2 linked regions of the Schizosaccharomyces pombe genome follow. The protein of the gene in region 1 purifies or fractionates together with the protein of each later gene. This does not show direct contact. Each region holds a gene or a part of one and is shown on either strand. Other genes may lie near its edges.

The links.
Region 2: the proteins of sal3 (region 1) and php4 purify together in Schizosaccharomyces pombe (affinity purification with western blotting, with the first as the bait; one study listed by BioGRID). This does not show direct contact.

What each region holds. Positions count from the first base shown.
Region 1 is NC_003421.2:2,257,898-2,261,824, forward strand, and holds the start of sal3 (karyopherin/importin beta family nuclear import signal receptor Sal3), read left to right. Parts: upstream 1-2,118; 5' UTR 2,119-2,384; coding exon 2,385-3,927. Other genes in the region: SPOM_SPCC1840.13 (uncharacterized protein), read right to left, coding at 1-270.
Region 2 is NC_003423.3:1,914,800-1,918,726, reverse strand, and holds php4 (CCAAT-binding factor complex repressor Php4), read left to right. Parts: upstream 1-1,834; 5' UTR 1,835-1,989; coding exon 1,990-2,877; 3' UTR 2,878-3,352; downstream 3,353-3,927. Other genes in the region: SPOM_SPBC16E9.02C (CUE domain protein ), read left to right, coding at 1-566. UniProt on the Schizosaccharomyces pombe protein: Component of the transcription regulatory CCAAT-binding complex. Required for the reprogramming of the cell for iron use. Down-regulates pcl1, sdh4, and isa1 underlow-iron conditions.

The sequences.
Region 1 (3,927 bases):
CTGGAAAAGGAAACGGTAGAAAACGTGAAAAGTATATGAAAAGAGCAGGCTAGATGAGATAGCAAAAGGAATAATGGGTAAGATAGATGGAAGAATAGAGTTGAGCGGGGAGAAAGATTTGGGTGGTGGGTAAATGAGGAAAGAAAAAGGTCGAATTATTGGAATGCAAAGGCTGATTAAGCGTAAAAGTTTTAAATCCTTTTTCAATGGCGCAAAAACTAGCCTGGTATATACATGGATGCATATTACCAAGATCCTATAAAAGTCCATTTGAAATTTCGCTCTTTTTTGGCTGTCCCTTCTACTAGGGAAGCGGCCAAAATTCCTATGAATAGAATGGGGAAGATGGAAAGGCCTGGTTCCTTGATATAGCGTGGTTTAATAGAATATCCTAGTAGAACATTGGGTATTGCCACAGAACTCGCAATGCAGAGCGGTGGAAAAATAACCGTGTACGGGAATTGAAAAACCATTGATGGAAATGGATGCTACGGGGATTTTGGAATGCAAGCAATTATAGCGAAGAACCGGAATCACATTAAAAAATCTAAAAAATTCATCAATTCTCCTTAATTAGATACTATACATTCAATCTCTCCATGTATTCAAATCTCTTAAATTGAATTCGTCTATTTCGCCAATTGTCAATTACGTTTCCATACCGTACATTTGAAGTAACGTTAAAAATATTTTAAAAAAACAAATTCATTCGGTTGCATGTTCCGATTCTAGTAGAACGATATTATTTGAAAATGGTTTCTTTCTTCTAGTCTACGAATTACCGATTTTTTTTCTCGTCATGAAATCGCCCGCCATCGGGAACTTAACGAATCAATTGTACTATAGCGTCTCGGTTTAAAGACGGAAAGGAAATTTTAGTTGGTTTGCTATCGTAATTCCCTGCCAAAAGCAATGTAAAACGGGAATCCGAGATAACAGCAACCCTGGGAAAATCACTGTTTCCTATACCGGTTTCTACAACATTATTCTATAACATTATCCAGTGAAGTTAAGACTAGCGGTGGTAAGTTAAGTCTCCTCATTGTTTACACATCGCCTTTCGTCCTGAATGCTAGCGAATGTTTTCAAAGAAGTTGATTTATGGAAATCGCTAGACATTCAAACTGCGTAGTATAACAAGCAGCGTCGGTTGGACGATACATTGGCGGAAATTTCAAAATTAAAAGAATTTACTTCTCTTGCTCTACTACATTTCCTTTTTATCGCTTTATTTTTCTAATAAACCTCTATTAATGCTCTTTATGCATACCTTTCTTGTTAATTCTATACTACACTAATCTTATTCTATCCTAATTCTGGTTTCCCGCCAATTTCAATTTAATATGACTTTATGCAAGACAAAAGGCCGAGACTTTATCCATGCAATTGTTTAAAATAGATCAGACATACTTACATATAAACGCTTCCAAAACAAGCTTAGCGAACAATAACTTAGCTTGCACTGGTACATCGGAATATTCACGATTATTACTAAATTGCCACTCATCCCTGATTCCTGTATGTGCTAAAATTTCAAATTACTTTTTATCGCTACATTGTTATGTGCAGCCTCGGATGATACCGACTATAATTTGATACTAACTAGTTTGTAATGATGGCATTCAAAATGTTAGCAATTCATTCACCATACCTGTCTCTACTAGTGTATGTAATTGTGAGTCTAATAAGAAAAATATGAAAACCTTAATGAGCATGACACTTTGTTTTCTGTTCATCACACTCATCAATAATTCAATGGGAAAACGAAATGTGAACGGATTTTAAGTTGCTGGAATGGTAAAATGCGTTCATTCAATAATGTGGAATTAAAAAAAAAAGACAAGAAAATAAAAACTTACAAATTTAAAACATACTTCATAATCCAAACTATTCTATTTTTTTGTGATTTGAAAACGAAATCACAAATTTTCCTTATACGAATTTACAATCCTTGTAGAACACTATGTAAAGTTAACGTAGTTTACAAGAATAGTGTTTTTTTTTGGTAAAAATTATCACTGTTGCGATAAATTAAAAAAACGATGCGCAACATTACTTTAAAAATTTGATGCGATTCATGTAATACACTACACCACAAGTCGATACACTCCTTTCTCCATCTGCCCTTGGGGTTCCCTTAGTGTAGACAGTTGGCACTTCTACTTTGTATAGTATCGCTGGCTTAATTTAGGTATTATAAAAGATAAAACTTGCTTCACTCGTTAATACTAGAAGTTCGGCCTTTATTACCATTTTTTACAGCCCAAAACATTCTTGGTACCTCAGCCTCTGACCGAACGAGAAAGTTGTATTTAAGTTTATTTACCTTTTTCCTCTAAAACTGCAAAATCCACGTCTCTGATTGCTCATTTTTTTTTAATATCATGTCTAGTGGATTTCCTCCTGAAGTATTGTCTCCTCTTTTAAATTTAGTTCAAGGCCTTTCGTCGCCTGACAATACTGTCCGAAATGATGCTGAAAAGTCTCTTAGCTCAGACTGGATAAGTCAAAGAGCTGACTTATTATTAAACGGCCTTGCGATTTTAGCTTATCAAAGTGAGGACCCAGCTGTGCGCTCCTTTTGTTTAGTTCTTTGCCGTCGTATTTCCTTTCGCACCTTACCAGGAGACAGTGAGTTGGAAGTGTTCTCTAGCATTTCAAATGAGTCCAAACAGTCTTTGCAAAGTCAACTTCTAGCTTGCTTTGTTAAGGAGTCAGTTCCCACTGTTCGTAATAAGCTTTGTGACACAATCGCCGAGATTGCTCGATCTATCTATGATTGTCAAGGCGAATGGCCAGAACTCATTAACGTTATCTTCAATGCTGTTAACTCTCCTGATGAGTCTTTTCGTGAATCAGTTTTCCGTACCATCACTTCTTTACCTCGTTTATTGTCAGGTCAAGATAGTGCTGTTACTCCTCTCTTTACCACCGGTTTAGCTGATCCTAGTATCCGTGTAAGAATATCTGCCGCTCGTGCCTATTCTGCCGTTATTCTTGAGAGCAAACAATCCACTCGAGATCAGGTTATTCCTCTTTTACCTAGCCTCATGAACATCCTTCCCCCTCTGCAACAAGATCGTGATTCTGATAATTTGGCGGACTGTCTTATGGCCATCACTGAAATCGCCGAAGTTTTCCCAAAGTTATTCAAACCTATTTTTGAGAGCGTCATCGCATTTGGTCTTGGTATCATTAAGGACAAGGAGCTGGATAATTCCGCTCGCCAAGCTGCTCTTGAATTGCTTGTTTGTTTTTCGGAGGGTGCCCCTGCTATGTGTAGGAAATCTTCCGACTACACTGATCAACTTGTACTTCAATGTCTCTTGCTAATGACCGATGTCGCTGGCGATCCTGAGGATGAGGCAGAAGAACTTCAAGAATGGTTGAACACGGACGATTTGGATCAGGATGAAAGTGATGCTAACCATGTTGTCGCGGAACAAGCCATGGATAGACTTTCTAGAAAGTTGGGCGGAAAAACAATTCTTCCTCCCTCTTTCACGTGGCTTCCTAGATTGATCCCGTCTCAAAAATGGTCTGAACGTCATGCTGCCCTTATGGCCATCTCATCAATTGCCGAAGGTGCTGAAAAATTAATGAAAAAAGAGCTTAGTCGTGTATTAGATATGGTACTTCCTTTGTTAGCTGACCCTCACCCCCGTGTTCGATGGGCTGCATGCAATGCTGTAGGCCAAATGTCTACAGATTTTGCTCCTGACATGCAAGTCAAGTATCCTTCTCGCATCCTCGAGGCATTGGTACCTGTTTTGGAGTCTCCAGAATCCCGTGTTCAAGCTCATGCTGCTGCTGCAATGGTTAATTTCTCTGAAGAGGCCGACAACAAGGTTCTCGAACCTTACTTGGATGATATCCTTCAACGCCTTCTTACCTTGTTACAAAGCCCTAAGCGATATGTGCAGGAAC
Region 2 (3,927 bases), on another chromosome or scaffold:
ATGAGCCTGCTGTTGGTAAAGGAGCATCCGATGTGTCTGATACAGCTGAAATTTCTGAGAAAACTGAAGCCAAGAATGCTGATTCGGAAGCCAATTTAGAAGAGAAATCTGACGTTGGGGAAGAAAAGGAGAGTAAGGACGAAAATAACAAAGCTAGTCTTCATAAGGATGTTGAGGAGAAAGATACAAAGATAACAAATGAAGACACTGGTAAAACGGAGACCGATGTCAAAGCCAAGGAGACTGATAGTATAGAGGCCAATGACAAGGATGAAAAGACCGATAGCAAAGAAACTGAGGACAAGGTCGAAGAAACTGAAAGTAAAGAGGCCGATGTCAAGGCTAAGGAGACTGATAGTATAGAGGTCGATGACAAGGAGGAAAAGACCGATAGCAAAGAAACTGCGGACAAAGTCGAACAGACTGACAGTAAGGACACTAACGAGAAGCCTGCGAAGGATGATAATAAAGAGGCAAATGAAAAGGCTGAAAAAGTTGACAGCAAAGATGTTAAGGAAAAGATCGAGGAGGCTGCTGATCTACAAAATTCGGGAAAAGAGACTTAAGGGAAAGAACAACAAGGCACATCATGATAGGTTCAAGAGTTGTAATCAGCTAATGGTACTATATATGCCTTGAGTATTCAGGGTACGAGTAGCTTGAAGATTTAAATTTTGCTATTTTCGGTGTTCCTCAGCTTTACAGTAAATGTTTTAGCGCTGTTTCGATTTTTCTTATAAGTAATGTTTTTTCGAGCTCTTTTGTTTCATATTTTTATAATTGAATTATTAATAATCAATTAAATTTTTCACGACAATCGCAATCCCGTTGATGAATTTGCAAAGTAACTTTAATTTAAGATTGTGCTTGAAGTTTTATCGAAACCATTTGGATAAACTGAGTAGCTAAGTATCCATACATTCACTCCATCCTTGCGTGCATAGCAACCTTTATTCTTTTTACCACTACTGTACATGAGACATATGATGCTTACAAAAAAATGATATTCATTGAGAAGGCACGAAACAACGTGAATTATTAAAACAACGTATTTTAACTACAACAATAACTGAATACAACATAAATCAAACTAAAAAATGATATAAAATATAAAAACTGTACGTAGCATTCGGTCATCACGAGCCATGGCACGAAGCAACGACTTCACGATGGTTTTAAGCTATGCTGTCGGTCTCCCCGACATAATCTATACCGATTCCATGAAGAGGAAAAAGCTGCAACCATTAATACGGTTCTATATTATAACCGCGTTAGAAGAGAGCAGACTTTTTGACATCAGTAATTCATTATTTTGTGAGATGAAGCTTTGTTTTAACTCACTCACATTTCTTATATACTAGGAGTCAAAAAACAGTCACATGTGTTAGTGCACTTTCGTTTCATCTCATTATATCAAAAATATAAACAAATGTTAAATAATCTTCAAAGGACGGTATGACATGAGAAAAGCAGTGAGTCAGAACATTAATTTAACTCCAAAAAAGTAACATGGATAAGCATTACTATGATAGTTGGTGTGCCGAATGATTGTAGTATTACATAGCCAGAGCCCAGAGTTTATTAGGTCGATCGGTTTTAATCAGATGATGTCCACCATACCCGCGTTTTTTAATTGGTTCTGTAACTGAAATGATGGGTATTGAGAATGTATGTCAACAGCGCCTCTAAGCCGACCTGTTCACTAATCCGTTTTTTCCCGAAAATTGAGTCTTTAAAGATATAACGAGGTGTTGCATACCGGGTTAACAGTACAATCATCGAACCACACGGCACTTAGATCAGATATAATTTAATCGTATCTCTTTATCAGATTAAAACAAACCACCAACGACAAACGTTTGAAAAAGTGAGATTTTTAAGCTTGGTCAGTAGAGGCATTGGAGTATTGGAAAATAAAGATTTATATATTTTGCTAAAAGTGTAGTTCTGTACTTGATATCTCCTATCCCCCCAACTTTTTTTTTGCTCATGGAATCGTCTAAAAGTCCATCGGAAGTGGAAAAATCATCTTCTGCTTCTCCAGCACCTCAAAAGCCGATGATTCGCGTCTCTAAACAATGGGTTGTTCCTCCTCGTCCCAAACCAGGAAGGAAACCTGCGTTAGATGCTCTGGGAAGAAGAAAGGCACCTATTAAACCAAGACCTGGGCCGACTTCAGCTTTGTCGGTCGAGGAAGCCAAATTCCGTGTTCGTGAAAAACAATATCAGGATACGATCGGAAAGTTACAGAAGGAGAACAACGAGCTGCTTGAGCAGTTGGAGATGCTGCAGGCTCAGTTGAAGAATTCTACTTTGGATAGCCCCAAGGAAGTCGAAGTAAACTCTGAAGTTGTCAAGCCAGATTCTGCGACTACTGAGAATGAAAACCGTTATGTAAATCAGTACAATTATCCGGTCGAGCCGCCCTGTGCTAAGAATGCCGTTTATACAGAGATTCCCATTGAGCTAGATCCTCATGCCTTCTTGGGTGATTCGGCCAAGAGAATTCGTGTGGATAGTGACAGTAAAGATGCAAAGTCCGTTCCATCCGAAAATGGAAGAATTCGTGTATCTATGTCTCCCCAAAACGAAATTAATTTTACACCTGAAAACCCAGCAGTAATGGAGAAGATACGTAAACGTGGTGTTTGCAATAGTGTAGAAGGATGTTTGTACTCTGGAAGCCCTAAATCTGTTAAACGTGTCCGTGAATCCGAGGAAACCAAGGTTTATGCTCAACTACTTATTGACTTACACAAGTCCTCGAAGTCTGCTCCGATGTTAAAGGCAGGTCCTTCAATCGCCTTCAAACTTCCTACCATGGAACCAAATTTTAACGATGTTCGTCCCGTCACTTCCATATCCTCTTCTTCCTAAGTTTCCCAAAAGTTTTTGTCATCTCTCATCTCCTCTTGTTATTGCATCTCAGCAGCGACTTTTCTGTTTGTAAGTGATCTCCATTACCTTTTTCCATGGTACGGAATTTTTATTTTCGGACTTAATTATCTTGCTTCATACTATTTTATTCGTTGTGCATTTTCGTTCTTTTTGGATTTCTTTCTGTTAATACTAACGTTCACTACTGGTATTTGAACCAATACATTCAGAAATATTACAACATTTTATTTTTCGTGTTCTTGGTATTTGTTTTAAGAGTGTGTTTTTTTTTTACTCACTAGACTGGCTGTACGTCGTAAAGTATGTTTCCTTGACATATTCTAGTCTAGATCGCTTTGTTCATTACATTGCTTCCTTTTCTGTTATATATGTTAATTTCACTATATGTTTTGTTTTTATATATTTTCTGATTTGTATAGAAAAGAATAAATCTTTGTTATATTTTTACTCAAAATGTTCATAGCAAACATTTGACTTTACAAACTGCTAAGCAGTGTTTTTAATAAATTTAATGCTAAAGCCTTCACTGTGTTTATTATGGCTTATGTTTGAAGCTTCGTATTTCCAAATTTAAAAAGTGAATAATCTAACAATGTTAATATGCTAGTCAATTTTTTTTAACAGTGTGGTGTACCACTAGAATTTCTTCGTTTTGCAATTGCCCTGGTTGAAAGAAAACTTGCTAGAGCACCGAAGTTCTTGTGTACGGTAATCTTTTGGTGAGACCAATCCACTTTCGCATTCAAGTAGAAAGAGTTGTAGTGTCCTAAGGATCTTATATGTCTTTCTTTCAGCGTCATAATCAACTCATGGTTTTTTCAATTCAATTCAATCATATAAAATAGGTAAATTGCTAAAATTGATTAATTTCATTTTGTAAATTTGAAGAGGATATAAAACAGTGTGCGCTATTTCCCCTAATGATCATTTAATAAGTAGTTACAATTTTATATGAAATCCAAAATTACATATCGTCAATTACGATTAAAAATCGTTCTTTGTGATGTGCTTACAATTGAGCTTTTATTC